Linked DNA regions of Caenorhabditis elegans. The protein of the gene in region 1 purifies or fractionates together with the protein of each later gene. This does not show direct contact. Each region holds a gene or a part of one and is shown in the gene's direction. Other genes may lie near its edges.

Evidence for each region.
Region 2: the proteins of R12E2.13 (region 1) and K03B8.6 fractionate together in Caenorhabditis elegans (co-fractionation; one large-scale study listed by BioGRID). This does not show direct contact.

Annotation. Positions count from the first base shown.
Region 1 is NC_003279.8:4,170,114-4,186,057, reverse strand, and holds R12E2.13 (MIR domain-containing protein), read left to right. Parts: upstream 1-7,610; 5' UTR 7,611-7,622; coding exon 7,623-7,747; intron 7,748-7,923; coding exon 7,924-8,027; intron 8,028-8,136; coding exon 8,137-8,264; intron 8,265-8,313; coding exon 8,314-8,403; intron 8,404-8,466; coding exon 8,467-8,640; 3' UTR 8,641-8,753; downstream 8,754-15,944. Other genes in the region: kel-20 (BTB domain-containing protein), read right to left, coding at 1,143-2,246, 2,294-2,455, 2,700-2,974, 3,023-3,125, 3,172-3,249, 3,736-3,837; suco-1 (SUN domain-containing protein), read right to left, coding at 4,320-4,802, 4,855-4,991, 5,038-5,288, 5,346-5,891, 5,944-6,647, 6,700-6,785, 6,831-6,910, 6,963-7,055 and 1 more; rpn-8 (26S proteasome non-ATPase regulatory subunit 7), read right to left, coding at 8,928-9,080, 9,127-9,525, 9,575-9,703, 10,171-10,227, 10,288-10,373, 10,418-10,562, 10,616-10,735; mrps-6 (Small ribosomal subunit protein bS6m), read left to right, coding at 11,319-11,363, 11,427-11,572, 11,622-11,700, 11,869-12,087; R12E2.11 (Orotate phosphoribosyltransferase), read left to right, coding at 12,435-12,749, 12,801-13,066, 13,108-13,210; Inactive protein-tyrosine phosphatase egg-5, read left to right, coding at 14,471-14,733, 14,782-15,659, 15,708-15,944.
Region 2 is NC_003283.11:11,395,866-11,412,599, forward strand, and holds K03B8.6 (uncharacterized protein), read left to right. Parts: upstream 1-11,718; 5' UTR 11,719-11,719; coding exon 11,720-11,842; intron 11,843-12,029; coding exon 12,030-12,662; intron 12,663-12,717; coding exon 12,718-12,876; intron 12,877-13,179; coding exon 13,180-13,260; 3' UTR 13,261-13,678; downstream 13,679-16,734. Other genes in the region: Zinc metalloproteinase nas-18, read left to right, coding at 569-733, 1,132-1,536, 1,600-1,663, 1,717-1,785, 1,833-1,852; Zinc metalloproteinase nas-17, read left to right, coding at 3,051-3,360, 3,411-3,595, 3,715-4,134, 4,183-4,424, 4,474-4,663; Zinc metalloproteinase nas-19, read right to left, coding at 5,330-5,477, 5,739-6,479, 6,523-6,824; K03B8.8 (Conserved secreted protein), read right to left, coding at 13,682-13,862, 14,615-14,787, 14,834-15,073; grl-3 (Ground-like domain-containing protein), read left to right, coding at 15,697-15,699, 15,745-16,014, 16,059-16,328, 16,488-16,592, 16,698-16,734.

The DNA of each region.
Region 1 (15,944 bases):
AGTAATCTTCCGCAATTGTGTACCGTAGTCTCAAGAGAATTAATTGTTTTGCGAGGCACCACGATTTCAAGATCTGATGGGATTCCGGATCTACGTTTTCCGGATCTACGTTTTCCGGATCTACGTTTTCCGGATCTACGTTTTCCGGATCTACGTTTTCCGGATCTACGTTTTCCGGATCTACGTTTTCCGGATCTACGTTTTCCGGATCTACGTTTTCCGGATCTGGCACCTGCCAACGCACAAAACGCTTTTCAACGCACGACTTTTTTCGAAATTTTCTTCTAGAATAAACGCTTAACAATACGCGACGCGTAACATCGGAGCATCGTTGTCACTTTTTTCTTAGAAAAAATAGCGTTTTAAGAGTTGGCACGGTGCCAGATCTGGAAAACGTAGATCCGGAAAACGTAGATCCGGAAAACGTAGATCCGGAAAACGTAGATCCGGAAATGGTAGATCCGGAAAACCATCAGATCTTGAAACCGTGGTGTCTCTGTTTTGCGCTGAAATCAATCGATAAATATGTATTTCAGCGCAAACAACATAATTTTTCTACGCGTGTCGAATGAAAAAAAAACAGAACGAACTGCCATGCCAGTCTCCGTCTCTTCAATCAACGAAGAATTGCGAGCAAAGAAAGAATACTAAATCAAAAACCGTCGGCGGAAAAGAAACCATTTTAATCATCGGCCACCTGCCACAAGATTTCAAAAAGAAACAAATAACGAAGTGACATTAGCCTTCTTTTCTTCCCGCCACCGCGGTGTCCTTGTAGGTCAAATTGAAACTTATTGACCAACTTATTTGAGTAGAACAAAAACAAACCTTTTCAAATTGAAGATTGGCTTTCGAAGAGAACACTTGCTTTCCTCTATGGAAATGTTCGAAATAAATTACTTTTTGTCAAGAAGTCGCTTTTTTGTTTGAAAACGTGAAAATTAAAACGTAAAGAAAATTTAAATGTAAAAGTTCACGAAAATTACCCTGGATTCCATCGATTCTTTGGTTAAAAATATTTTAGTCTTCAAAATTTGAACTTCAAATTAGTGCATAATTTTTGAATCAATTTTAAATATTTATTAAAAATCAGATAACTTTCTTTTTTATGTACACTTATTATTTAACATCAAAATTTTAAATTATAAATCCCGTCGTTTCACTGCATGTAATTCTGTTTCCGGAGCATCTGCCACCCTGACGACACCAACTCCACCGCCCAGCCGTCGGTAGAACATCTGCGAGTGCGTCTTCCATCGATTCGTATCTTTATCGAAAATTTCCACAGATTTCAAATAAGTCTGTCCATCAAATCCTCCAACCGCATAAAGCTTCTCTCCAACAACCGCCACTCCGACTCCACTTCTCCGATTACTCATGGCAACAACCGGTTGCCATTCGTCTCTTTCGACACTGTATCTCTCCGCCGTGTTGAGTTCTGTAGTGGTATCTCTTCCACCAACCGCATAAATGTATCCATCATAAACCGCTGTTCCAAGATGCTTTCGTTTGGTTAGCATCGGTCGAACTTCTTCCCACTTTCCAACTCGAGGATCATACCTTTCTACAGTATTCAGAGGTGCGGGTCCATTTGATCCACCAACTGCGTAAATGCAACCATTAACAACTGAAACCGAAACTCCTAGCCTTCTAGTTCCCATACTGGCCACTTTCGCCCACTCGTTTTTCCGTGGATCATACTTTTCGACAACATCAAGACAACTTTCTCCATCTTGACCTCCTACAGCATACAGAGATCCGTTGAAAGCAGCTACTCCAACACTCGTTCGACATGTGGCAGTTGGTGCCACATCACTACTCCATTGATTGGTCATTGGATCGTATCTTTCTATACTATTCAAGTATGATTGTCCATCGTGACCACCCACAGCGTACAAAAGATTCTCCAGAACAGCAACTCCAACTCCACATCTTCGTTTTCCCATCGGAGCCACACACTTCCACGTGGTTCCTCCTTTCATTGGATCCAGGCGCTCGATCGAAGCGATCGCATCTCCACTGCACCAGCCTCCGACAGCGTACAAAACTTCTGATCCTTGTAGAGGTTTTCTGGGTTTCGTTCGAGGACCTTGCATATTCGGACGCTCCACGGGAAGAAGCAGGTAGTTTTTTGCCTCGTCAACTAAATCTCGGCTCGCTGGATCCGATTTGACAAGGATCTCCTCACTGACCACACTCACCAAGAACTTCGGAGTGCATAGAGGCAGACGGACATGGGAGAGCAGCTGAAGAAATAATAAATAAAAAGAGCTCTGGATCTCTGTAGCCTTACCATGGATAAATGAGTTTTTCTTTTTGAAATATCATGTCTGACCCATTGTATTACTGCGGAAAAAACTAGCTCTTCAGAAGCTGCATTGAGTTTATCGCTTTTGATGATTGTTGTAAGGCTTTCCACAGTTAACATTTGAAATTCCTCTTTTCCAATCACTCTCTGAAATTAAAAAGTTGGAGTTAAATATATTACCCAAGAGTTTCGCGTGCGCCTTTAAAGGGTACTGTAATTTCTAAGTTTCCTTGTTGTGGAATTTTCATCGATTTTTCAGAAAAAATTCTATCGAAAAGCAATAAATCAATGAAAATTTCGCAGCAAAGTCGTGGCGAGACCATTGTTGGTCCAAAAATCACAAATTTTCGCATCTGGCTAATAAGGAAAGTGTTTTTAAGCAATTATTTACCGAGAAATTTTTCAGTGCAAATTCATCTGCAGAACTTAGGAGCTCTTTGCAGGAATGTGTATCCGCAAATGCTCGAATCCCAAGACAATTCGATGGATCTAACTGTTTTTTCAAATAATCACAGCATGCGGTTTGAACTTCATGAATCTGAAGGAGGCATGCCGCCGGAAGAATATCCTGAACATTTGAGTCATCAATTGCAATGGCTCCAGTATAACAAAACTCGATAAGTGCTTCAAGAGTCGGTGGCTCAATTTCTTCCATGTTAATTTCTCCTAAAAAGTTAATTTTTGTAGGTGATTTCTGATATTTGAAATAATTACTCATATAACACTCAGCCATCTGAGAAGTGAACATTGACAAAAAGTATGGAGAGCACGCAGACAGCACAACTCGATGTGCATTTATTCGTTTCCAGCCGCAAATCTGAAATTTTTACTGATTAAATAAATAATCAATGTAAAAATTATACCAGTGTCACATCACAGAGCACATCGCGATTTTTGAGCCCACCGAGTTGTTGGAGAACGGAGTTTGCGAAATGAGAATTCTGAAAATTCAATTTTTAGGTTTATTATATCTGTAACTCGAAATTAAAGGCGCATGGATTTTTTTGAATGGGATTCGTCACGAAAAAACAATTGATTTTCAATTATTCCAAATTTTTGATATTGGTAATGAGTTTTGGAATTTCAATTTTTTGAAACAAAACGTTTCCTGGCTGTCCTTTGTGAATTTTGCGCTGAAAATACGATTTCCGGTCTTGACGCGGCAATTTTTTTTGATAAATGAGGAAAGGTGTGCGCCTTTAAAGAGTACTGTAATTTCAAACTCTCAGTTAGTTTATTCTCAAAATTTATGTGTTAAAATTGTCAAATTTGATTTTTTTTATACATAAGTTAATATATTTTTATCGAAAATTTATGCAAAATCGATACAAATTTCGCAGAAACAAGGGTTTAAAATTACAGTACTTTTTAAAGGCGCACACATTTTCTCATTTAACAAAAAAGTGTCGTTTTGAGACCTTCCTTACCTTATACTTGCTCTGTGGTTTCCTCGATTCGAACATATCGGCTGAGTCATGTGATGTCGACGGAAGATCCATGGGATCCGAAATCTCCTGACCCCCTCTCATCTGAATTTTATAATGTTTCTTATCTTGACTTGAAAATTTCAAATATCTAGCTAGAGAATATAACTCGATAAAATACCAAATGCCAAGAAAAAGTACACAAAAATTCATGGAAAATTACAGTGACAATAAAATTATAATGGAAAGATCTGAATCAGTAAATCAATTCGGTGTGGCAAATATATCACACCGGACGGCGAGGAGACCCTGTTCACAGTAAAATTGGGGGAGAAAAGCATGCACAGCAAGCTGAAAAATGGTTCAGGATGGAGAATAATAAGCGACATTGAATGTCGAAAACCTGTACAAACGAAATCAATTCAATCGGTATGGGGGAAGAGGGCAATTTGATTGTAAATGGGCGAGAGTGATGGAAAAGGAAGGAAAGAGAAAGAAAGAATTGAACTCGTATGGAATGCTAGTCACCAAGTTAGTAATCTACTACAAATTCAAGCTTTGTTATGAATAAATACTACAGTAATTTTCTAATCTGCATTTAAAGTCGGTGTATCCTCCTTTGAATGTTCCGTTTCCGACGAGCTTTCACTGTCCTCCACGCTTAAAGTATCATCAAATCGGGATCCATTTCTTTCCGACAAAGCGTCTCGGAGCATTTTCTGATTCTGCTCAAATTGCTCCTCAATCCGCGTCTGTTGAGCCTCAAACAAATTCGCAAGTGCCGTCTCTAATTCTGTCATCGCACTGCGATTACTCGACGTCTTTTCAATCTTCAACGCAGATGAAACAGCCGCAGTGACCGCCAGCTCTGCTCTTCGCATTCCTTTTGAGATCAGCTTGCGATTCTCTATTCCAACTTTCGCGATTCGAGCTCTCAATTCGTTTTTCACAATGATTTGAGTTTCTTCGCATCTTTCCTTATTTCTTCGATGAATGTAGAAGACGCCAGCAAAAAGAAATGATAGTGCCATGATGTTGAATGATATTAAAGCCACAATTAGATGATCAGTCTGAAAATTTCAATGTTACGGGATTTTCTAGTTACCTAGTTGGTAAACTTACATTCCATGTCAGTGAACCGAACATCACCGATTTGGCAGTTTCGTAAATCTTTTTCATTCTTTCCTCAAAGTTCGTGAAGTTTTCAAGCTTTCTGTTCAAAGCGGGAATAATTAGAGGTAGCCGAGCTATCGTTGGACCTAAAAATTAGAAAAATAAAGTTGATTCATCTTCAAAAAATCTTACTTGGCGGAACATTCGAGCTAATATGACAGGAAGACATAAGAACTTGTCGACTCATTTCACTTTGTACATTGTTGTATCGACTATTCTCTAGCTTTTGGAGGAGATATACAGACTGCCTCAGATCACGCAACTCCCGCTTCACACCATTCATTTTCGATCTCATCATTGCCTCGACAGTTTGGGCGGTTTTCTTGGAAGCTTTACGAGTTTCCTTTAATTCTTGTTGATATCCACTCATTTGAGATACGTACCTGAGAAATTATATTTTTATTAATCGTTCTAAAAAATATATTAAATGATTTACTCACTGTTTACTTAATTCCGAAAGGTACTCCGAGCTCAGTGTTAAATTTAGTTCAACTGCTGCAATACGTTTGCTTAATTTCATAAGAACCAGCTCCCGTTGGTTAGTGGATCCTCCGGCGGGCAGAATCGGCTCAGATTTCGGCTTTGGAGGCAAGGAAACTTGTGGTTGCTCTCGAGCTGGAGGTTTAACCTCTTCCGATGGCTTTTCAGTGGGTTTTTCGATATTTTCAGCTTTAGGTGTCGGAACATCAGGTGCTGTGGAAATTTTTTGCACATCTTTCGGGTGAAGTCTTTGGATTGTTGCCAAATTTCTTCTCCTAGACTGTTCGAAATTAGAATGCCGACTTCGTTCTGCCCACAATCCGATTTCTGTCTTGAGGTCTCGCTTATCCGTAACTGCAGGCTTAATTGTGGATGTTTTCAGGTTATTCGGAGGCTTGACTAAATCATTTTTCTTTACTCTCGTTGGAATTGGAAGAATATGGCATATGAGGTTGGAAACTTTCCCTACAGAACATTGTGAGCAAACCGATTTCAGTTGACGGAAGCTGAAATTAAATATTAATAATTAATTCGGTGCTTTTTGGAAAGAAAACTTACTCTACTGATTTCATTCGTGCTGAAACAGTTTGATTCGGAGATTTCGGTGGCACTGGAAGCTGTGTCTGCATTTTCTGCTCCGATGGTGGCGGAGTTGTCACTGGCTCTTCCTTCACTTCTTCAATTACATTTAAAAGATGAGCAGCAGCTTCTTCTTTGTCATATTCGTCAGCCAAAGTACTCCCCATCACATTAACAACCGAAACAATGCAGTAATGTTCTTTTCCATAATGATCTTCTAGGTTGATCCTGACATATTTTGCATAGACATTTGTGTTTGGAACATCAAAAGTTTGCAAATTCTTATGATGATCCTGCAGATGAAATGGTCCAACAGAGATCCAATTTGCGAGAGGAGGGTATCTCTCAGAAATGAAAACTTGAATTGTTTTGGGTCTTGAAGCGAACAGTTCAAAGTTTCCAATAGCTATCTTTTTAATCTGAATTGCTTCGCATAACTCAATAACTATAAATTTTTCTTTGGCAGATTGGCATGGATTTCTCATATAATCATCGACGTCTTTCTCATTTACAACAGCTTTAGCATTCTCAGCTTCAGGATTTGCAGCGATAATTTTAGCGCCACATTCCCGACTGGCAAAGTTTCTCGGTGGACGAGTGATTGGGGGCAGCGGAATTGAAACTTCATCGTGCCGGGCAACTTGAGTTGGCTCAATTGTTTTTTGATTCTGTCCGTTTTGGTTCTAAAAACTCGAATTTAAAACATAATTCTCTCAGAATAAAATAAAAACTCACCGCAACCGCATCTCTTCGCTTTTTCGTCCATTCATCAAAGTTATCTATGCTTTTCTCGGGTATCGAATCCTTTTCCGATGCATTTACTGAATTTATATTTTATTTATGGAATAAAATATAAATATTATTACCCGAAGCCTTCATAATCTTTTTCGAAACATTGTACGGGGCTGACCTGGCGCAACCATCGATAGATAATGCGCAAATTGGACTGAAATTTCAAAAAATTTGTAAGAATTTGTGTTTTAAAAATAAAAGATTACCTATGTTCTCCATCAGTCAGTAAAATGTCTTTCCAGTGTTTTACAAATGACACTTCTTGATTAGCATTTATGTTGGGTAGTACTAGTAGTACGCTGAAATATTAGCAATTAAATTCATTTTTGGGATAATTCTTAGTGAAAACATCTTCAGTTCATCAAAACGACTTTTAAATGATTATTTTATATGAATACAATAAAAAACTTACGCAAATATCAATAACCGCTTGAGCTTCATCACCTGTTCCACCTTTCTCGCTCACCCATGCGTCGTGTTTTCTGTTGAGCTGTAAGTAGAAGGTTTAAGTTTTCAAAAGAGAACAAATTTAAAATGGAAAGTGATAAGACCCTTATGATTTCAAACAAACATAGATTAGAAGGTCTCGTGATATAAATTTTATAAGCGGTGTCGCGTCAATTGGCCGCCAAACAGCTAAAAAATTGACTGCGGAACCACAAGGTGTTGGGAACAAAGTACGTCAAGAGCGGCTACTGACGTCATTGTCGATGGTGTACGTTGGTTGACGCACATCTCGTGCAAAGCGACGTTGATTTAATTTTTGCAGGAGCTTCTCTTTTTATAATCTTTTCTGCTACATTCTCTATGAAATTCTAGAAAGTTTGGAATAATAAAACAGAATATTATTACAGGGAACCAAAATAATGCCGAAATTGCCACTACTACTCAGTTTTCCACTTCTATTCTTCGCCTCATTTGCATACGCCGATGAAGACTTTGTGACGTGCTACAGCGTTTTAAAGTTTATAAATGCTAATGATGGCTCTAGGTACGTGAGCCAGCTTACTTTATTAAAATTGTTTGCACTAATATTAGAAACTCGGTAAAGTTAATGACACTAAATAAATAGTTGCCACCAACAGTAAATATTAAAGAATATCTCCTGAGAAAATGAGCATTTTCCCTTCGAAAAAGTAGATTTTGTTTGAAACAAAAAGGTTTCAGGTTACATTCGCATGACGTAAAATACGGAAGCGGGTCCGGCCAACAATCTGTGACTGCTGTAAAAAACTCGGACGACATCAATTCTCATTGGCAGATTTTCCCAGGTTAGTTATTTGGAAGTTAACGCCTAGTAACTTAAACTATAATAATTTGTGTATATTAATGCTTTTTGAAAAAAAAGAACAAAGAAAACCGAACATTCTCTTACTTCAGCTTTGAACGCAAAATGCAATCGTGGAGATGCAATCAAATGCGGAGACAAGATCCGTCTGAAGCACCTCACCACGGGCACGTTCCTGCATTCCCATCATTTCACTGCACCTCTCTCCAAACAACATCAGGTTTGTTTGGCAATTCGAGAAAACAAATGAATAATTTGATTTTTTAAAGGAGGTCTCCGCTTTTGGCAGCGAAGCAGAAAGTGACACGGGAGATGATTGGACTGTGATTTGCAACGGAGATGAGTGGTTGGAATCCGAGGTTTGTTACATTCCTTTTCGATATTATCTATACGTTTTGAATACCCTATATTGTTCACTTTAGCAATTCAAACTTCGCCACGCTGTCACTGGTTCATACCTCTCACTCTCGGGACAACAATTCGGACGCCCCATTCATGGACAACGGGAGGTCGTCGGCACCGACTCGATCACTGGTGGAAGTGCATGGAAAGTTGCCGAAGGCATTTACATCAAGCATCAGCAAAAAGATCTTTAAATCCACATTGGATACTCCTAATTTAATAAGCCATGCCTTTCTTCGTGATATTTACCATTGCTTTACGGGGATGTTATCTTTGTTATTTTTTCTAATAAAGTTATTAGATTTTGTCTTCTGAAAAATTATTGGCAACTGATCTAAATACCGGGGATAAAATACTACATTGATGCACAGAAAAATAAAAGACCGAATAAATTAAATGTATATGATGCGATAGGGTAAAAGAAAAAGAGATTGGTGGAGAAGTGGACATGAGGATACAATCAATGTTCTGAGTTTGTTTATCACTTCTTTGGAGTATTAGGGGTTGATGATTTACTGTCCTTTTCCTTTTTCTCATCCTTCTTTTCATCCTTTTTGTCTTTCTTATCCTTTTCATCCTTCTTTTTCTCAGCTTCGCCAGTTTCCTGCTCCTTTTCAGCCTTCTGGAGAGAGATCTAAAAATCATAGCTTTTAATAAATTTTAAAATCTTTGCAAATCACCTTGTTATCAATTAAGTTGTGCAAAGCGACCACCGATCGTACAAGAGATCCCATATACACACACATGAGCTGATCATTAGTTTGCACATTCTGTGAAACAATGTAGTCTGGATGAGTGACGTCAGGCAGGAGATTGAGAACTTCTTGAACATAGTAAATGACATGATGGTTGACTGGAAGAGTTCCGCGCACAATATCATGAAGATACTTCTCAATGGATTCAAGCTGTGATTGCAGTCCTCTCAAGCCCATAAGTTGATCGGTGATACGCTGTGAAAGAGTTCCAGCAGTTTGGTCCTTGATATCTCTCAAAAGATGCTCGACTCCAACTTCCTCAGCTTCTTCGGCTCCGATATCTGAAGGCACATGCTCGAAGGTTTTGATTGGTGGAGTTCCATCCTACAAAACAATATATTGAAAAAAAATTAAACAGTATTTTGAAACGTACATCGTGAACTTCCTGAACTTCGATGTAAGCCTCTGTTGGCAATCCGATGTTCTTTGGCTCAGCATCGATAATTACAAGAACCGGGTTCGGGCAGAATCGTTTCAATTGCTCGTTGATAGCAATATCGTTCTGTAAAATTAATAAATAAATAATTAATTAAACTGTTGAAGTTGAACACCGTAATTTTGCAAAAATCAGGGTGGCACAGAAAGTAAGGCGGAGCGTAATTTCGCAACACTGTGACACGGTTTTTTCTTTTTTTTTTGTCAGGTATCCACTGCATTTTTTTCGATTTTTTTCAAAAGTTTTGATTTGATTTGTTTTAAGTTTTTTTTTTTTTGCTTTGTTGTTATTTGCACAGTATAATTTCAAATTTAAACAAGTTCGCGCTCCATCGATCATGAAACCGTAAAAACGGGTATCAGAACGGATATTATCGGTTCATAGAGATTCAGAGCCCAGTGATCCGTATGCAGTCATCACAAACCCGAGTGGAATGAGAAATCGAACCAATGGCTGGAGGCGCAGAGTGTGTGCCTGCTAGCCACTAGACCACTACGCGCGTTGTCCCCGTCTCTTTTTTGCCTCTTATATACCTTGTGAAGTTTTGGACCCGTATGATACCATCCGACGATTTTTTCCTTGGCGGCAACCTGTAAATTCATTTTTTTTGTTTAAAATTAAATAAAAACGAGATTTCAAAATTCACCAACCTTGTAGAACATTCCATACATGCTCTCCAAATAGTCCATGTCGAGGAACCATGTACTTTTATCCTTGTCATCTTCATCAAACGGAACTGAAAATTACTTTATAAGTAAGCAAATAAATTTTTAAAAATACCAGCAAAACTGTTTCCAATATCCAGAGTTTTGTCCTTTTTCATGGACCCCAAAAGGACTCCAACAACACGCTTCACGCTTTGAGTTTTGCTGACACGATTGAAATGATCAACAACACTCAGAAGAACCAATGGATGGACGGTCACCTTAAATAATTGTGTTTATTTAAAATCGAATTTTCTCGCTCAGGTATGCTAACCTTATTAACGGGAAGGTTTGCATGAACATTTCCAAGGCAATGATGGGCTCCAGCCTTTTGTTTGAGAACATCTACAGCTTTGACAGTCGCCACATCTCCGTCTTTGTTAGTTGGAGCCATTCTTCTAAAAAACGAAAATAAATTTATCACAATAAAAAATCAACACATAACAGTTTAACACGTTAATAATCGACATAACAGTGAGAAACGCTTAATCATTGCGGAAAAACCTGCCATAAACGTATCTAGAATATAATTTGAATGAAAAAATGAAAAGAAATAAATAAATAATGCTTAAAAACGACAATTTCCCGCTTCCCGTTCAAAAAAGAAATATCATCGTTTAAAGGCGCATGCAATTTCCCCGTAAATCGACACTGGCCGTGGTGAGACCCATCCCGTATTTCCACTTTATTTTTCCTGGTTCTTTACTTTAAAATTAACTTTTTTCGATTGCAATGACGGAAAATTAACTTTCTAATGCGAAAAATTGAAAATTGAACATTTATTTTATTGTTCTAGTAAATTTTTGTTTAATAATCTTGTGTTCACAGCCTGTCGTTGAAAAATGGCAACTTCCTATTTTGGAAAAATAGCTTGTGCTGTGATTTCTTATCGTGATTTTCATTGACATATTTCCAAATTCGTAGCATAGAAAATATTTTCAGTGAAGAAAAAGCATTCATACTGGGCGAGAACAACAATGCCGTTTTATGAAGTGAGCATGATCACACGATCTCTGTCAAAGGTACAGAAAAAACACGATGAAGCGTGAGAATGTGTATAATCATGAGAATATTCTTTATTTCAGGCAGATCTTGTTAAAGCTTTAACGCGTGCTGGAAACACTTTGCTGGATCACGGAGCAGTAATTGAAAAGGTTGAGTCACTGGGTCATCGAGATTTACCGTATAAACGGCTGGCCAAACAGACAAATGAGCCCGTCTACGCTTCAAAGTAATATTTAAAAACTATATATCTTAAAAAAATTGTTTGTTCTTTGCAGTTTCTTCCTCTTCAAGGCGCACATGTCTCGGGAAGCTAGACAGAAAACAAAGTCTATTTTGACACATGACCTGGACACGGTGAGTTAGTTAAATTTCATTATATATTATCTGATGTTGATGTATGATCGGGTCTTATTGTTTAAAAGTTTTCTTTGTTTAGATTCATTTCGAATGTTGTTTTGTTCTTTTTCTAAATTAATTTGTCACTTTTTGGTCATTACAAAAATCTGAACCATATTTTTTCAGGTTCAAGTCGATCTAATTCAAGTGGACACACTGCCGGCTCCAAAGGTTGAATGCAATCTGGAAGAAATCCTCAAATCTCCTGCCGAACGTCAAGCAGTCAAGGATTTGAGAGAAAATCAAAAGATGGGTCATTTCACGCGACAGATGATCTACAAACGTACTGAAAAGGAGTGGAAGAGTATCCCGAAGAGTTACCCAATTGCTCCGCCAAGGCCCTAGACATGAAATTCGTAATCGACTTAAATTTACGGGTCGAAGATCGCCGACAATGCACTTTTGGCCACACCTCCTTATGATAGTGTTATCAAACGAGGCTATCTTTTCGTACTTTGCGTTGTCTGTTTTCTCGATTCTTCTGTACAGTTTTAGGATTTATAGAGTGATTTTTGTTTTCTTAAAGTTGAATTGATTTGTTTTGTTTCATGAATATCACATTTTTATTTATTTATTTTTCTTCCTTCAAATCACGTACCTGGTTCATCTGACCAAGTGATATTTGTTCACTTTTCTATTGAAAGAAAATAACCTGTTTCACATTGATATTCGAAAATTGTTAAAAATTCAGAATGACCGCCGCCACCGCTACCGCCAACGGAAATCACTCAATCGAGGATCCAGTCGTCATGAAAGTCCAGGCCGCTTCACCAATCCAGGAAACTGATTTTTTCGAGAATCTCTATCAAATGGAATGTTTTCGCACTGGGGAGTTCTACCTCAAATCTGGCCAGATGACTCCAATCTACATAGATCTTCGCAGAATAATGAGCTCTCCTCGTGTGCTCCGAATGGCTGCTCAAGCTATGTGTGAGAAAATTGTCGCCTCAAACCTCAAATTCGATTATGTTGTTGGAGTACCATATGCTGCCCTTCCACTTGCTACCGTCAGTTTTCAGAAATAATTCACACTAAAAAATGAGACTCAATGTTTTTAGCTTGTATCTGATATTCTCAATGTGCCGATGCTTATGAAAAGAAAAGAAGCCAAAGCCTACGGAACAAAGCAACTTATCGAAGGAGTCTATCAGCCTGGTGGTACAGTACTTCTTGTCGAAGATGTCGTCACATCAGGTGAATCAATTCGTGAGACAGCAGAAGCAATTCGCAATGAGAATCTGTTGGTCACTGATGCCATAGCTGTTTTGGATAGACAACAGGGAGCAACTGCCAATCTCGCAGAAGATAATCTTAACTTCCTCAGGTGAGGCTTTTTCGTTTTAATTAAAAATCAAATTTTTTCAGCTTTTTGACAATGGAGAAGATCCTCGACGGCCTGATCACGAAAAACGAGATGACCGAGGAACGAAAGCACGAGATTATTGCTCATCTTGCTAAACCTTTCTAAAAATTTCATTGTTGCACCCCATATTCTACCAATTTGTGAACTTGTTTTCTCATTTTCATAATATTCCAATAAACTTCCTTGTTAGCACACATGCATCGCATCACATAAAACAAGAAAATTGATGGACCAATTTAAAAAATGGAAAAAAGGTTTCATTAAATTTTTGTTTAGCGTTTTATGTGATGTTTTGTGTGTTTATATTTTCTTCTCATCACTTTCTACCATGTTTGCTGAATAATTTTCATTATTTTTTGGCTTGTTGATTCCTTCCCAAGTTGTGATATATCCTGGTTTAATTCTTCTTCCGCATGTCTTAATAATTTTTTTTTTTGGAATTTAGCTAAAGCATAATCAAATCTTCTCATGTTCTTTCCCTGAAACGATTTCAAGTGAATAAAACCTTTTCCAAATAGTGTTCACAAAGGATAAAACTCGCACCATCTATCATAGCTCAACAGTTCTCGCTAAGAATTGCAAGTCAGTCATTAATGCACATAAAACTTAATAAACTTTTAAAATCGGATTCAATTATTTTGCTCTACCGGATGACCCCAGCAGAGCGGTTCCAAAAATTAAAGTCGTTTGACACTTTCTTTCGAAAGGTCAGAACTCCAGCGTACCTTGAGTAACTGGGTTAAAACCGAAGATACCAACGAGTCCTCTCCTCTTACCCAAACGTGTGTACCGACACATTTCGAGGCAAGCGAGAAGCGACGAGTGTGTGTTGTCGAGGAGACGGAGACTGCGAAACAGCAGTGGTTGATGGTGCAGTGGGGAATAAGGGAGGCACAGCAGGACACTGGTTCGATCCCCACGAAGTGCATAATCAGATTTTCCGTATATTGAATATTTATAAACAATTTTTAAAAAATCTATTTTTAATTAAACATGCGTTTTCCGTTATAATGTGCGATTAAGTAAAGAAAAGTACGGTATGCAAAAAAAAAGTACGCAAATACACACATTATCTGCTACCGTACCTTTGTTCTACAATTTGTTCTACATTCTTGGGAGAGCGCGAAATTTTGTATTTTGTCCGCTCAGCGAAATGATTGCACTTGTTTTCTGGAAACTTCCGAAATTTTTTCTTTCTTTGTTCTCCTAAAACTTCGACTTTTTCCGTTCAGTTGTTTAAACAGTATTTTTCGCAGTTATTTTCTATTAAAAATCCGCGTATTCGTCTAATTTCCATTTTGTGCTCTCCCAAAATCGTTTTTCCTGTCTCTTCTGCCGTTTAATAAGCTTATTTATTTTCCAGGTATGGCGTTGAACAGCGAAGTGATGTTCCGCGAGCAAATCAATGCGATGCGCTCACAAGCTGGCCGGAAGCGAGCGACGTCGCTTCAAAGCTTCTGCTCCGGAAACACCGACGACTCCTCCGCGGATAGCACCGATAACATGGATATGATGGTGGATTATCCTCAACAAAAGGGAGTGAGCTGCATGAGAGCCAGATTCAACAGCGAGAGCACGCTTAGCAAGAGTTTCCGGAAGAAAGTGAAGAAGCTCGCTCAGAAGGACAGGTACTTTGAGATTCTTAAGTATTAGAAAATTAATATTTTATGTTGCAGAAGATCCAAGGAGCGTCTGAACGGAAACTCGGAAGAGGATGCGATTGAAGTCCCACGCGGTGCTCCGTCTACTTATGCAGCTCCATCGAAATTGCGGAAATCCAAAGCTCTCGACTGTCTTGTCTCCGAGAAACCAAAGGACGAAGGAAGAAGCGAGGATTCCGGGCATGGAGCCGACATTGAGATGGCAAAGGGACACTTCAACGATGTTCGGATGAAAGTATTTGCCGCCCGAACTGCGATGCAAGTGGAACCAGCGTTGGTCATGAAGACTCGGAAAGCATTGGAGATGAAGAATGCTGTCCTAGAAAATCATCAATCGCCAGGAGCTTTCTCTCTTCATGCAGCCTACAAAATTGCAGCTTCTGCAGAATCCCGTGTTGGATCGATTACTCCATGCAATAAGAAGGTGACAAAGGAAGCAATGGCTAATTTGATTCGTTCAAGTTATGATGACACCGAGATCACTCAAGAGCTGCTTTTCTCTTCAAAGTTCGACTCGAAATGGAAGGGTCGATACACAGACATCTACATGCGTCGGGATGAGAATGGAAAGAAGCCAAAGCGTCCAGTGAACGGTCAAGGATGGGTGATGCCGTTGAAAAGCATCTGTGAGAAGTTCGGAATCAACTCAACTTTCTTCACAAATCATCGCATCGATCTGAAATCCGCAAGAGATCAGGTGCTTCTGATGCGCCTTCTTTCACATGATCAAACCAGCACATGGATTTCGGATATTCATCCAGAAGCCGTCAAGAATGAGACACTGGCTGAATACCTACTTCGTGAACTCGACGCTTCTACGATGCAAAAGCGAGTTCAAGCTTTCAAGGCAAATGTTCTTGCTGACAGAGACCGAGTTCGTGTTGCTGGACAGTGTAAGAAAATAAATAATTATTTTCCTTAATTAATTAACTTTTTTTCAGTCTACAACAACATTCGAATCGGAAAGCGGATGTTTGGAGCAGCGAGAAAAGCGAAGTATCTGTCAACCATCATCGGAGGAATGGAGCGACGCTTTGAAATCCTCGAGAACTCTGTCAACCACATCCCATTCACTCACTCAGCTTCAGACAACAACCAGGAAAAGTGCCGTAATCCACGTGTTCACTGCAGGGATTCCACTCGAATCGCTCTCCAATTCCCACGCGGTCAGTATCTCG
Region 2 (16,734 bases), on another chromosome or scaffold:
TCTCAAGACATCGCCTTAACTTTATCTGCATAGGTAAAATGAACATATTTTATAACGTAACATCATTAGATAACAGTACGATTATTGATAGATTTTAATACAATTTCCTTGTAAGATGAACCATATTGTTCTCTTCTAACCTCATATCAGAATTTAAATTGAAGTTTTGGTTTTTCAGTAACTAGCATGGCTGCAAAACGTTTACAATTAACGTATAGAACAAACACAATTCACTTTTGTGTGAAAATATGTCTCAAAGCAATAATATGTTCGCAAGAAATTGATTAATACATCTTATGTAGACACTTTGGCAGTTTCAGAATACTCTTTTCACAATCCGAGCGCGCCTGTTCCGCACTCCAGTCACGCCCTATCCTCGCGCCAGGCGCATTTCACCTCTTTTCGCGCGCCAGTCGCACCCCCTTCGCGCCCCAGGAGGAGCCAACTACCGAGTAGTGCAAAATTATTATATTGCTTTGATTCTTCATTCAGTAAGTTCTATTATATTTTGAAGTAGTGAAATACAACTTATAAACATGTACTTTGAGGTACTGAAAAGCGAGAATTGATGCTTTTCTCCATGAACTTCATATCTTCACAAACTTGCGTGACTTTTGAAGAAAACTGTTCAATTCCTAACAGGGTCCAACTTGTTAACGGTAAAGGCTGTTCATCATACATTGGGATGAATAACATAGTACAACATCTAACATTTAACGATACGTGCATAGACGTGAGTTTTTCTTTCATTTCGACATACATATGTATATTTCCGTTTCTCGGCGTTCACGACCAACTTAATGTTTATGTGTTGCCTTAACAGTGTGAAAAAAGTGGATTATTTTCTGGTAGTGGTGGGCATTTTCTAGAAACTGCAAACTATTTCCAACTAAATCAATCATTCATTTCAAGTGATTCAAGGAAAACGTATCACTTTATATTTGTTGAGGTCAAAAGTTAGACCAGAAGTTACCGGGAATGTCAAGATAATTGTAATGCATTGAAAATGTTTTTTTTTTTTGGAAAGTTTTCGATGACAGGTACAGAAAACAATTTTTCAAAACTCGAAAATTTTCCAAACACGGCACACCGAAAGAATGATAGACAGATCTCAATCACATAAACTTTCAGTTTGGAACTGCTGTTCATGAATTAATGCATGCATTAGGTGTTATTCACACCCACTCTAGACTTGATCGAGATAACTTTTTAAACATTAATCTGACAAATGTGTCCAAGGAAATGATGCATAATTATGCAATTTTCAACCAATCTACAAACGTTGTACCTTATGAATACGGAAGCACTATGCATTACTATGCGAATATATCGACAATGTTTCCCAAGAAGTCAGAATACTCTGCCACACTTGGAATAGGAAGAGTCACGTTTTATGATATGGTAATTTTAAATACTGCATACAACTGCAAATGTCCAAATGAATTATTGTGTGGAAATGGAGGATACACAAATCCGTCGAAATGCTCGGAATGCATTTGTCCGTTGGGATATGGTGGAGTCTTGTGTGATCGTCCAGTTAGTTTATTTCTTATATGACCTTCCATGTACATCGGTTTTTTAAAAATGTTTCTAATTCAGATTACTGGTAGTGTCCAGTTGAGTGCAGAGTCTTATTGGAAAGGATACTGGATTGCCATTGGAAGTAAAAGATAAAATTATTGAAGTGAAAGTTGTGGGAATAGATAATTTCTTTAGTTACCCTACCTGTCTTATTAATGGATTGGAGATCAAATATATGGGGGATCCCAGAATCACAAATCCAATGTGAGTTTTTGAATACTTCCCAATTTCCGAATAATTTTTTGTTGCAGTTATTGTTCGGCTGATTTAATCAATGGGAAATCGTTCAGATCAAAATTGAATCCGCTTCTTATGAATATTCACACACTTTTTGGGAAAAACAAAGTGACTTTCCATTACAGATATGTGACTGAACGCTTGAGTGGCTACAATAAAACAACCAATGGATATGATAACTATGAGTATTATGATTAAATTATCTTTGTCAATTATTTTCGAATAACATTTTTGAATCATCTTTTGATCTTTTGAATTATGTGAAACATTTACAAATTTGTCGAATATTCTTTCTTCTTTTGTATTAAGTAGTCTGTTATATTAAGTAGCAGTGGGGATTATGTCTGAACAAATTTTTGTTGATTCAAAATATTTAAGTCCATGAAAAAAACTACAAAAAACTTCGATTTCAGATTTATCAGATTTTTTAATACTTCCAGTCAAAGTCATGACATGTTACAAGTTTACTACCAATGCCGCATGTTGGAACATCATAATCATAACTTAAATAAACTCTTAAGAAGGAATAAAATAGTAAAAATGAAAGCTTTTTGGATGACGTCCATAACTATTCATGACAAACACTCGTATGTAATCACCCTTTGTGGATAATCTTACTATCATAGAACTATTTGGCCGGAGAACTGATTTAATAAGAAAAAGTGAAATGATATTTGGTCATAGACTTGAGGAATACTCAAAACAATAATTATGGCCGCTCCTTTGAATCAAGGGATCCAGCCATGAAGGAATGAAATTTCATCATTTGTCTGGTTACAAACGCCTGCTGAACAACACAAGGAGTTTTTGAAAATTCGTGGTGCACCAATTTAAAACTAATAGGGAGTTTTGCTCCAAGAACAAAAAACATCTTAAATGTTCAAACTGGGCGCACATGCTAGTCAGGTGTGCGCGCCAATTGCCGTTCGGCAATCGAATTTTCCGTATTTTCTTGAATTTTGGCAATCGCGGATTGCCGAAAATGGCCCATCGCTGAAAATTTCCAAAACCGGCAATTACCGAAATTTCCGATTGCCGCGCACCCCTGATGCTAGTCCAGTTCAAAGAGGATACGTAAACTTTGAACGTACAATTTCAATATAATCTAAAATTGTTAGTTCACTGGTTCAATTTTTATATATCTTCTCTTTCATTTTTCTCACGATATTGATGTATTTCTTATCCAAAAGTTGTCAGCATATTTAGTGCATAATCATGAGAGACTCATCAATATGCAAAAATATCAACTGTATAAAACAATGGAAGATGTCAAAGAAAATCACTTCGACATGTTTCTTCGACCATCTACCTTACTTCTAACTTTATTCTTGGCATTGGTTGCTGGATCAGCGATCCGAAAAGATGTGGACGAGTTTGATTCAAATAAAGGAAAAGATGGTATTGTAGATGGAGACATTATGCTTACTGAAGCTCAGCTTCGAATTCTCAATGGAACCGCAAAACGTTCAAAAAGGCAGATCACAAAGATTTGGAAAAAATGGCCAGATGCAAAAGTATTTTATTACTACGAAAATGAATTCAGTAAGTTTAAAAAAATTTATATTCAAGTTGTTATGTAAACTTAATTCCAGCAAGTCTTAAACGAGAATTGATGTCATATGCGATGGCCCATATCAGTTCGAACACTTGTGTCAAATTCCAAGAAAGTAATTCAGCAACGAACAGAATTCGTTTTACAAATACAGGAGGATGTGCTTCCTATATTGGAATGAATGGAGGAGAACAAACCTTGTGGTTCGGAGATGGATGTCTTATCGTGAGTTTGAGACGACTTTGAAAAATTAGCTGATTTTGAGATTAGTTAGAGTTCAACCTGAAAAATATGTTTAGCTGATGTTACAACGAACCCCCGTATAAAATAAGAATTAAATTTAGTTTGGTACTGCTGTTCACGAAATCATGCACTCTCTTGGACTGTTCCACACGCACTCTCGTTTTGATCGTGATAACTTCCTGTCGGTCAGCTACAAAGATGTTCCTGAAAATATGGTTGGAAACTTGGAAAAAGAAACTGAACAAACGACGTACAATGCTGTACCTTTCGAATATGGAAGCACTATGTTGTACAGATACAACACCTTCGGAGAGGGAACCCTTGTTTCAAAGAACGAAGATTATCAGAAAACAATGGGATTGCGTCGAGTGTCATTCTACGATTTGGTCAATATAAACGTTCGATATTCTTGCGGTTGTGCTAAGAGTTTGACATGTGAGAATGGTGGATATACAAATCCATCCAATTGTGCTACTTGTGTCTGCCCGACTGGATTTGCTGGAACTCTTTGCAACGAAGCAGTCAGTTGTAAAAAAATAATTTGCTCACCTAAATTCAGACGTTTTCAGCCAAGTAATACTATCAAGCTCACCGCAGAATCTTATTGGAAAGGATATTGGGTTAATTTTGGGTACAGTACCTCAATTCAAACTACCAACTATTACTTGGCTTACTTGTGGATCACTGCGCCAGCTGACAAAACGATTGAGGTTAAGATAATGGATCTCTCAGGTTTCACATGCTCTTACGGATGCAATTACAATGGAGTGGAGGTTAAATATATGGGTGATCCGAGAATTACCAATCCACTGTGAGATCATTCAGATAGTGAAGGAGAACAATTATATTATTAATTTCAGACGATGCTGTGCCCAAGACACTGAATATCTGAACCAAGTCATTTCCAGCAAACAAAATCCAACACCAATTGTTATGCAACAGAGATACGGAAGCAGCAAGTTGACAATTCATTACAGATACGTTGATACTCCATTGAGCAGCAATAAGAAGTCAACTAATGGATATGATAATTATCAGTATTACGTCTAAATCACCGTCTTAATAAATCGTATTTACTATGTCGATATGGGTTTTTTCAAACATTAACACGAAGAAAGAGTATTTGAGACACTTCCTGATTGAACAATTACAAACAACTGGAGAAAAACTCTTCAATGATTTTTAGTTTTATTCTAAAAGCAAAACAAAACCTGCCGTGCTCTTGCCGTTTTCTGGAATTTATTTTAATCGTTTTGATGAAAATAAAATCAAGAAATGAGAAGACGTTCACGTGTCAGAGATATAGGTAGTTTCTTAAGGACAGACAGACAAACGTTTTGGTACCTACTTCGAAGCCGTATCAATTCAAATTGAATTGTTAGCGATTCGGCTGAAGTTTTACTTGAAACATCGAAGATAACGAGTAATGGCCTATTGAGAAAAATATTGAACTCGTTTTAAAACTAATTCCAACATCCAATCTGTTTAAAAACATTTTGTAAGTTGGGCTTTTTAGAATACCAAAAATATATGTCTACTGACTATTGTTTGAGTTTAAGATCTGATTGATACAAATTTCCAAAAACTGAGAATGGTCAAAAATATTCCAACTTTGTCATTTGTTTTATGTAGCTTGTTGAAGAGAAAATAATTAGGAAAAATAAAAGATGACGTATTCATTATTCGGGAATGAGATTAATTGTGTTCCTTGAAATGTTAACCAAGCACAACTTTGTCATTCGTGAAGCGATATTTGAATGTAACAGCTGATGGTAAAGTCGTCCTTGAGTACAATTCAATGATTGTTGGGTTGTGAGACGATTTGAACACGTTCTTGTATGGTGGTTTATCAGTACAGCAGACGCTAGATGAAAAGTTAAATTAGAAATTAAAAAAATCATCGTTATAAGAGAATATAATTGTTTCAAAAATATTATTGACTGGTTTCAATCAATATTTTTTAATGTTGGTTTATGAAAATTAAAGGGCTGAACTTTTTGGAATTTTGACGCAAATAAGTTCAGACATATTTCCAAAAAAAACAATTTAGCGGAAAAATACGTCATGTCGAGACTGGGTAATTCATTTGCTCAAGAATGAAAGCACGATTAAAACAAAAACTCACACTGGACTGGTTATTTTAGAATCTTCTTTGAACTTAATTTCAACACCGTTCACAGTACATCCAGCCGTGCATATTACATCCTGGAGTCCTTCCAGAGTAATCTCAATTGTTGAGTTAGCTTTCCCAGTTATGTACACAAATGTTGAATAAAAACCATCCGATCCTGGCTCTGGCTTGTAAGCAAATGGAATTGTTATTGATTGCCACAAATTGTTTACAGCCATTAATTCGTATGAATCTTGTTGTCTTTCGTCGCAAAGATTTCCGAAGAATCCTTTTGGACAATTACATCTGGAGCAATCCGACGGTGAAGTATATCCTCCATTTTTGCATTCCAACTGTTTGGAACACCAGCATCCGTAGTATTGATTGATTTTGTACATATCATAAAAAGTCACTCTTCTATTTCCCATTGTTTGTTTGTAGTCCATATCCAATGGATCCATAGTTCCAGGACCATAGGTGTCTGCATGGTACATCATGACACTTCCATGTTCAAATGGTCCATACATTGTTGTCATTCCCGATGGCCTGGGTCTTGCTTCGTGTACAGTGGTTGTTACTTTCATGAAATTATCACGATCAGGGCGAGTATGTTCATGAAATCTTCCAAGTGAATGCGAGAATTCATGAACGATACTTCCGATGGTATCACAACTTTGAACCAACATAGAAAGCTCTCCAATCGGCTTACTCATACTCATACCTGGTGCTCCGACTGTCGACTGACAAAGCCAGTTTCTGCAATACAACGGTTTGTTAGGAAGTCGTAAATGAAACAAACTGTTGCATCCGAATCTGCACACGCTGTACAGCATTTTGATCCTCATTGAACCTGATGCAAGTGTGATTTGCAATGTAAGCAATCGCACTTTCAACCATCTCTTTTATTTCATTGTTCTTGTCCGCATAATAATAGTTAACTACTCCATATGACCATTTTGTTCCAAGACGTTCGAATTGTCTTTTAACTCGTTTATGAGAGTAACTTTCTTCGATATCATGCTCATTGAGCCGAGAAAGTCCGCAGTAGGCGTAGGAAAAGAGTAGAATAATAGCTCCAATAAGATGAATCAACCGAACCATCTCGAGATGCTGAATGATATTTCCACCAGCAATGTGTTCATTTATACCGTTTTCAACCTTATTCTTATACGAAAAATCGAGGGGAATATGTAAATCGGTGGGGAATTTTTCATATAAAACTACAATATTTTTCATGTGTCATAACGCCAGAAGGAACATTTAAATGGAGACGTTATACATAGTTCAAAAAGTGAATAAAATCTTCAAACAGTGCATGGTATAAGAGTTTTAAAACTGTTTCTGGAAGATTTCAGAAGATGATATATTTGAAACGACAATTAATGAATAAACCGTCAAAGTAAATCAACAGAAATGCAAAACTAATGGATAATATGCCGTAGTTTTTCGAAGAAAAATAGACGCATATTTTCAAAATTGAACTTTTAATTTCCAATAGTAGTCTGAATATTTTTAGATACATAATCTGATTTTAATACTGATTCCTTATTATGAAAATTCACTGTACAACGAGCCCTTCTACTCCGTCTTTTTTAATTACTATCACAATCCAAACATCATTATCACCTGCAAATTTGAAGGCTTTACGACTACCATTGCCGCACCAAATTGGGTATATCAGACACTGATAAAATAGTTTAGAGACACAAATATAATAAGATTACACGTGTGATTTCGCGCGTTTTCCTTGTGTCTTTTCGCCGATAAGGTTTTAAAAACACAATACAAATAGAGTGATCACTGAGAGCTACAGCACTCAAGATTGGCTTTTGTCTACATCGATCCTTCCGTCTCGAATCACCCCCCCCCCTCTCTCCAAATGGAGACCACCCATACTGTTAACCAATTTTGTATTTCAGGTTTTTGTGATATGTTTTTTATTGTATTTTGGCAACGTGCCAGAACTGAACAAATAATGCGGAACGTCATCGTACTAGACAGAATTTTGTATTGTATTATAGAGTGCGTTTTGTTGTGACTCTTTCCTATTTTTTCGGTGCTGTCAATGCTGGGAAAGAAACAAAAATAGTTGGAGACGGATTCATCGTCGAGCTCTCTATACTATTTGGTATGTATTTGTTTTCTGTATATGTATCACATTGCGATCCAATTATGATACCCTTTCCAAGATTGCGCCATATATTGAGGAGGTGCGTCCTCCTTCTTTTCTTTCAGTGTCCATTGTGATAAGGGCGCCAATGTTTGTTGTATACGTTTGTGTGTGTGAGTGGGGGTATGTGTAGGTGATACTCGGTGGCCCGTTGCTTTGATAAGCAAACTACTAATTTTTGATGAGTTTGTTGAAACATCATACCACTGATAACAAAGAATATAGTCCTTCTTTGGACCATACATGTTATCATATTATTTCTAACATTTGTTTTCTGAAAGAAATTAGTTGAGTTTTCATTCATTGTGCATATTCTGAATGCTTAAAACTCTAGTGTCATGCATAATGTAACAGTGTAAAGTAAAAAAATCTTTCTAATTGTAGTGCATCCGATCTCCATTTGGCATGCAGTCGATGGAAATAACAGTATGTAGCTGAATTCGTATCTCCAGCGCAAATGACTTTACACAGGAGTTACATTTTTTATATTGCAATCTACTTGTAAAAAACATGTTTTTCAGTTTATTCACAATTTCAAATTATTTCTATATGTTTGCAATTTTTAAATCACCAAAAAAAAATTCAAAATGTGAAAATTTTTTGAGGTAATATGAATGGATTTTTACAGTTGTAGTTATTTTCTCATAACTTTTAAAAATATCTCGGATCGCCCTGAGACGTTTCATTAAAGAAACCGTCCCAAAAATAAATATTAATCGAATTTGATTTAAAAACTTTGATGCAGGTTTTATTGATTGGCATTCTCTTTTAAAAATATTTTTCTGCTGTTATAACTGTTAGCTTTTCAGTGACAAAAAACATAGCTTAATCCCATTAATTTTGCAAAAGTCTGATCTGTTTGATGAACTCAGATTTGCGAGCATTGTCTCCTCCATTCAACAGTCGCCGACGCCTCGTAATTGTGTAGCGGCGTGAGCGATTCTCTCGAAATTATGATAAGCAAACAAGGGTGAACATGCAAAAGCCGCTTCTTCTCTTTTCTTTATATTCTTTCCGTTCTTGGCCACATTGCGCGTCCTTTTTCTGTTTTACTCTCTAGCCTTCCGAATGAGAGTACACCACGGTTTTTTGCTTACTTTTTTGATTACTGGCTCTTGCTCAAATTGTTTGTGGGCATTTTCGCCTCCTTTTCACATCGTTTAGTCATTTTTCTTCCTCAATTGTCGTTGATAACACTTTTTGTTTTGGGAGGTTCCCATTGTTACAAATGTTTTTTTTTTGAAAACAAATTTGTTTCTGGAATTCTATTATGTAATTCTACATCGAATGTTTGCCAGTCGATGATATAATCAGTTTACTACGTTTACGTGTGTAACATTCTAATGGTCTGACTGTAACGATTGTCAACGAAATGATAGTGAGCAAAAATTGAAATATTCAGGTCAGATAGTATTGGTATATTTGGTAGTTAGGGATCAGACAGAATTTTTTGTGGAATTCAAGTTTGAATTTTTTAAATTCCCATTTTTATGAATAAAATGAATGAAATTGATCGATCTAATGCACAGATGTGAAATGACTACTGTATTTTACCATTATTTGAAAACGTTTGAATTATGTTTCCAAAACGCTATTCTCACTTCAAAGACTGAATTTTCTGCCATAATTCAAGAACTAGACCAATAAGTAATATTTTGCCTAGGTTGATCCTTAAAGAGTAAACATGAAATTTTTTATAATGTTTCAAAAATAAATAAATGATGGTCATCACTTGAAGTTTTTGTTTTGGAAGTATGTTCACACTGTTCAAAACGACCTTACCCGAATCGCCTGTCAGAGTATTTTTTTTGGAAAATAGGAGTACGAGTGGTGTTTTTCAATGATAAAATATAAGCTTCTCGGTAATCATTTTCATAGACGCTTACGTTGCAACTTTTCCGAAAACTGACCATTACCCTATTCCACAAGTTTTTCTTTCATTTCTTTCTTTTTACCGTCCTTTCTGTTCATCTCCAGTCCCGACCTTTTATTTCAAATGGATAGATTCAAAAACGCACGTTTACTTTGCACTTTTTGATTGTTCTTTTGCAATACTACAGTAAATCGTGTGAGCAACCTTTTATGGCAACCAACACCGCTTTTGCAAACGAGTGGACGTGAGAGCCAGATAATCACCATATCTCTTTTTGTGTGTGTGTATTGATGCCGACTTTCCTTCAAAAAAGTCAAAAGACATGTTGTCGGAGAGTTACAAAAGAGCAACTCGTCATTCCTGATGAGCACACTTCACGCGCCGAGCCAAGCTTTTCAGTCAGTGTTCAGCCGACTTGCCCCACGACCGATGCATGAGCCACTCTGTTCTTCGGAAAACAAAAGTGTCATGGTTGAACAAGGAGCCGCACACTTATTGTACAAGGCATAATTTGAACAAATAATTTCATGTGGCGGGTGGCGACTGTCTCAGCGGCGAGGAAGACCTCCCGGCTCTTTTGTATCGCAAACACGTTCAAATCAGAAAGAAAAGTTGAAGAGCAACGGGAAAGAAAGAGATATGTATGGAGTTGAAATGAGAGTAATGGGGAAAAATATCAATGTTATTCTCTATTCAAACTTTCATAGACTGTGGTGTTTGATCCTTTAGAGTTCTTCTTTTTGAAATTTCATATTCATTCAGATGAACGTATACAAAAATTATGGAAAAAGTCGTAAAAAAGTTTTTAGAATTATCTAAAACACAGAAAATATATTCAAAATATCACTTGAACATCGTTTTCGTAAAAACCATGTACAATAAACATAAAAAGCACTTCGCATGAAAATTTAATTTTTTGACCCTTTTTACTATTTCAAGTCAAGTCTAGACATTTGCAAGATGTCATACCCAACATTTTCTCGTAAGAAATCATTTCTTCAACCTACTTGACTTGGTAATTCAACCGTTTTTCACACATTTACCATCCTCATCTCTTCTATTCTTGTCCTTTTCTTTCGTTTTCTTTGCGCACGTATCGTAATCTCGTGTTATGCAAAATAGGGGTACTTGTTAATGCAGACGTTGTGGTTTCATACCTCTCTTGATCTTCTCATATTTCTCATATTTTGCAAATTGCCGTCGGCTATATTACTTTGATGTCCCAGACGATATCTCATGATTTTGTTTAGAAAAATCTATTTTTGATCGTAAATTTGTAAAAATAAAATGGTAGCCGATGGTAGATAATGGAAAAATGTTTACGTTGCTTGCTTTTTAACAACGGGGATATTGAAGGTTAGGAGTGAGAAATGTGTCATCAAGGATTCTTTTTGTAACTTTACTCTAGACTGTTGGAAGGGCAGAGGTTTTAAGAAAAAGAATATGACAAATAGAACTTGAAACGTAGGATGTGAAACATCTGATCGTAATAGTCCGAAATTCACAACTCAGCGGGTTCAGTTTCATATAAGATAAAATACAATATTGATTTTAAGGGCATCTTCTTCTTTTTTCCTAACTGTATCAAATTTTTATCAAACCTATTTGCTCAAATATTCTTCCTTTTCATGTTTGAAAGTTTTAAAAGTTTTCCGTTCGACCTCACTTTTTTCCTCCTTTTCTGTCCTTTGAAACTATCTTGCTCGTTCTCGCCTTTTCTCAATTTAAAAAATGCTCATCTGCCACATACCTCTTCTATGTTCTCTGTCTCTTCATCTCAAACATTGTCTCTACTTGACACTTTGCCTGACACCATCTCAATGTGTGTTGGCCGTGTGTATGAAAGAGGCGTGGTTTGAGTCTGTCTGGAGGAAACCATGTTGTCTTTTTCATTTTTCCGTGCCCTCTCTTCATTGTAAAATATTTATGAAGAAACATTATTTTAACTTCAGAATGAGGAAGCCACTGGTGGTATTGCTGTTGATACTGGTGACAACGGTGGAGAGTCGATTCGTGGACAAAATGGTCAATTCAGAAATTGGAGACACCTATTACAAACACGAATCGGATCCAATAGTAAGCTCTTTTCAAAAAATTTGCTTCAATGAGTGAAAACTAGTAATCTGAAGAAGAAATACATTGTCCGAAATTTAGAAGTGAACTAGCGAAGTCTCTGTTTTTTTTTATTTTATTTTATTGTTGCAGCCTTCTTATAGAAGGAATTTTCTAATTTTAAACAAATGTTATATTACTTATTTTCTAGATGATCGACGACAAAGATGACGCACCTCAATACGAAGTAAATTCGGAAGAAGTTCCAACTTTGCCACGTATGAATAGTCAGACCAAATGGGAAATGATTCGTGCCAGTGGACAAGATCCAACAGTCCGTCGTAGAAAAAACAAGCAGCATCGTCAGCAGAAAGTCGTCCTTGGACGTGAACGTCGTGACTTGATCCTTGCTCCATGGAGAATCACTCATGTTGTTCCGAAAAAGAAAGAAGCTGAAGTTCCAAAGAAAGCAATGGCTCTGTCATTTGATGTCTGTCCTGAAAAATTCGATGCAATTACAAAGGGAATCAATGGAAGAACCTATGTTTTTGCTCGCGAAAGGGTTTATCAAATTTGGTTTGAAGACGGACTTCCACAAAAAGCGTCTTACTTGATCAGTGAATTCTTTGCTGGAGGACCGAGAACTGTGACCGCCGCATTGACAAATTCTCGATCTGGAGTCACAATTCTCTTTGATGGACGAACTGCATACAGATTCCGTTGGAACAGAAAACATCGTAGATTCCAGCTGGCGAAAAATACCCCACAAGATCTTCCCCGAAACATCACAATCCATCCATTGTCAGCATTTGAATGGGCCGATGGAAATCAAGTTGTTCTCAGTGTGAGTTGATATCAATCTTAAGAAAACCTTCTTGTCATGGTTGAAATGATTTCAGGGTGAACACTTCATCATCTACGACGCATACTGGAACTTAGCCACATTCACAGGCCACACACGCAAGTATTTCCCAAATCTGCCAAGGGATCTACTGGGAATCGTGTACAACGGAGCTGGAGAAACACTTTTGATGTACACCAAGACAAACAAGTTAAAGGTATTCTTTCCGCAATATTAAAATCTTCGGCAGTCGGCCACTTTTTTCCGCTGGCGATATTCTCAATTAAACAGTACTTATATTTACGAAAATCGGCAGCCCCGTCAATTTCCGATAAGTTTAAATTTTCAGAGAACGCCAATTGCCGAAATTATCGGGAAAATTTATATCTTGAGTTCAGCATACGTATCAGCTTTTAGAGCATTCATAACTCTCTCGATAGCGACTCTATAGTAACAATTTTCAATAGGATTCCAACTTTGCTGTTGAAATATAAATCGATCTTTTATGTTAATTTTTCAGGTTTACAACACGAAGAAGTTCAAAGTAGTACAAGAATATCCGCTGAAACTGTCTGAATTTGTCGGATGTCAAACTAGATGATCTGCTCAATCTGTCTTCATGCCTTTCTATCAAATCTCTCCCATTTCCGATGATCTGATCCTTTCATTCGTTTCCTTCTCAATCTTAAGATCGATCGATTTTGCTTTTTTGCTTTATTTGTTTTTTTTTCTAATTTTGTTTCTTTGCTTACTCACTTTTTATGCCCAATTCAGTTCTGAGCCGGTGTCTTCGAATCAGAATTTCAACTTCCTGTTTCTAACCCAATTAAATCCTAACTCACATTTTAAGTTTTCTACTTATTCCCAACACCCACAGTCTTAAGTTATTTTCCCTTCCTTCACCGCCTTTTCTTAAAAACGTTTTACGTGTATTTTTGTTTTATCTTTTCATGACTTTTTATATTTCAAGTTGTCATTTTCTTCATTTTGCAACAAAAAATAAATCAAATCTTCGCAATAGTTCAGCGTCGTCGACGTCCTAACACAAATTCCATGACATTATCCAGAATGTTATCAGTCATACTTCCAACTCGTCCCATCAGACTATACGACGGCGGAGGATACATCATTGGTGGATAAGGAGGAGGTGGGTACTGGTAATTTGGCAGTGGATCAAATCCTATTGGCCGTTGATTAATTGGTCTGAAATATACTATTATTTCTCAATAACTGTGTCTGCATTACTTTATTAAAAGTGGAATGTAAACTGACAGTTTTCAACTTTTTATTAAAAACTCTGCAAAATAAGCAAAGGTGACTGAAAGGGGCCAAATTTCCATACCATGCACATATGGATTTACTCGGAAATCATTTGTTTTGTGTTTTTTCCTTAAGCGTGATTACATTTTTTCCTTAAGCGTGATTACATGTTTTTTTTCACGGAAAGAACACTTTCGACATAATTTGTCTAAATACATTCATATGCTGTAGAAATTCGGCTCAATCTACTTGTTTACGTAAATATTATAGCAAACGTGCGTTGCGTCCTAGTGGAATGTCTGAAAGCAGAGTTTACTTTGAACACATGAGTTTTAAATTAAAATTATTTGATAAAATCACAAACCTTTTTTTCAGTTCAAGAACTTTGCAAAACCAAAACTTTTTTTAAAAATTATATTATTTCTCAAGAACTATATTTAAAAATTTCTAAAACTGTGTCAATTTGATTTTTAAGTTTCGCTCTTAAAAACGTAAAAAAACTATTTTCCTTTATTTAAAGTCTTTCCATTTATTGTGGTAACAGGGCCAAAGTTTGAATGTCAAATCATTTCCTAATTGTTGACTGGTTCTATTTTCTCTTTGCAAAATACTAGAACGTAGTATAAAAATATTCTGATCCCGATCACAGTTTTGCAAAGTTTGTATTAAGTTTGTAAAATTTGGTAAAAACTCACCCTTCTGCCCGTACAATTGTGGCCGTTACCGGAGGAAAATATTCAGGAGTTGTTGTTCTTATTGGTGGATCATATTCACGAGAAGAAACTTCCAATTTCTTTGCAAGTGTTGTTTGAAGTCGCTTCATTAATCCTGATAAATTTGGAACAGGTACTGGCAATATCGACGGATTCTAAAATTGCTTATATTAATTATCAATATTTAAGTTCAGAACTTACCTCATCCACTTTGATATGAACAGTTTGTGTAGCACCGGGTGATGTTTTTCGTATAATTTCAGTGTATTTTATACCGTCTTCTTTGAAAACTCTGGATGATATTATTTCAGGCTTCCTCGTTTCAGCGTTAACTGGTGCCACCGTGATATCCTTGCCAATTGGCATAAATTCAACAGTTGTATTTTCATTTTCAGCTATAACATCAGCGATAAAAATGGAAACTAACAGTAAATAACGCATCAAGTAGGACGTTGGAAATTTTGGGAATCAAATTGAAAGATGACCGTCAAATACTTTGTGGTTAGCGAATTTGGAGTGGTTGGAGTGGCAAGGACATCTTGATAAGAGATACAAAAAATAGAACAAAAATGAGAACTGGTAATTTCTGATTAGAACAATTTCAGCCATCATCATTTTTCTAATAAAATTTAAGTTTACAGGGAAATACATAGTACGGGGAAATTTGGTTTAGTGGGAGCAAAACTAATGTACCAATTGTATTAAAATAATTTTAATCTTAATTGAATTTTCTTTTTTTTCAGTCAATGGATCCAGAAGAAGAAGCGATTCAAAAAATACAACCCGGTCGCGACACGAACAAAATAATTTTAAACAAAAATTACATAATACTTTATTTTTCATCCACAAACAAAAAAAACCAGTTTAGGGATATGTTGATTATTTTTCTCATGAAAATAAATTAACTTTACCCGTATCTTTAGAAAAAAAGAAAGTTAGACTGGTTTCAATGTGGGTCGGCGATATACTTGTATGTGTGTACATAATTAGTGAAAAAGGGGTCAAACGGATTCATTGTTGTTTTATCCCTGTCTGAAGATACCCAAAAAGAACAAAAAAAAACAATGGTGAGTTTTCTTGCTTTCCGATTGAAATAATTATTAAAGTTTCAGATTTTACTTCTATTAATTGTCTTCATTATCCCATCAGTACTAACTGCTCCTGTCAGAACTGAGTTGTGTTGTTGTGGATGTATAGAAGAACCATGTCCACTTGTTGGACCCAGTTGTCCAGCTCCACGGGCTCCATGCAATGCATCGGTTGAAACTGTAAAATGTTCCGCACTTCAGCGACTTTTTGAAATTTCTCAACATAAATTGTTTGCTGATGAAGACGATGAAGAAACATCGACTTTTCAGCCAACTCCAAGTTTTGATCATCAGGTTGTTTTTCTGTTATAAAATCAAAGTTTATTTTTTATTTTCAGAAAACAATGAAGCTTTTGCCAACATTGAACGCGAAGGAAGTTCAAAGGATGAAAAATGAAATAATGGAAATTAGCACAAATAAAACAAGAAAATCTGAAATTCGGTTCAGTCCCCCAATCGAATCTGACAGAGTAAATGGGTTACATAGAATCTCTCATATGATGAAAGAAATGGAAGGAATGTTGATGCTCATGAGAGACGAAATATCCATTCAAATTGAAAATTCAAGTCCAGTAAAGTTGTTGGAAGAAGCTGCAACGAGGACAGAGGTAATTAAAATATCAAAATTTTGCTGGAAAATTTAAAAAGTAGGTCCTGGCCGGGTTCGAACCGGCGACCTTCTGCGTGTGAAGCAGACGTGATAACCACTACACCACAGGACCACACGTTTTGACGTTTTGGCAGCAGTTAAAAAAGTTTGTTTGCAGATTGACTCTTCTTTGCACGCATCTCCCATGACAAGAGCGATAAGGCACAAGAGAGCGGAGACAGAAAACTGCAATGATGAAAAATTGAGAAAATTGATAAAAGAGGTGAGTTGAGATATGTGTTCAAACTCTCATGAAACAGTGATATGTCGGCTGCAATGTGTTCATATTTTGTTGCACAGGCTGAACTAACAATACGGAAGTTTTCAGAACATCAGAAGGGATGCAAAAAGTTCCAAAAGAGAGA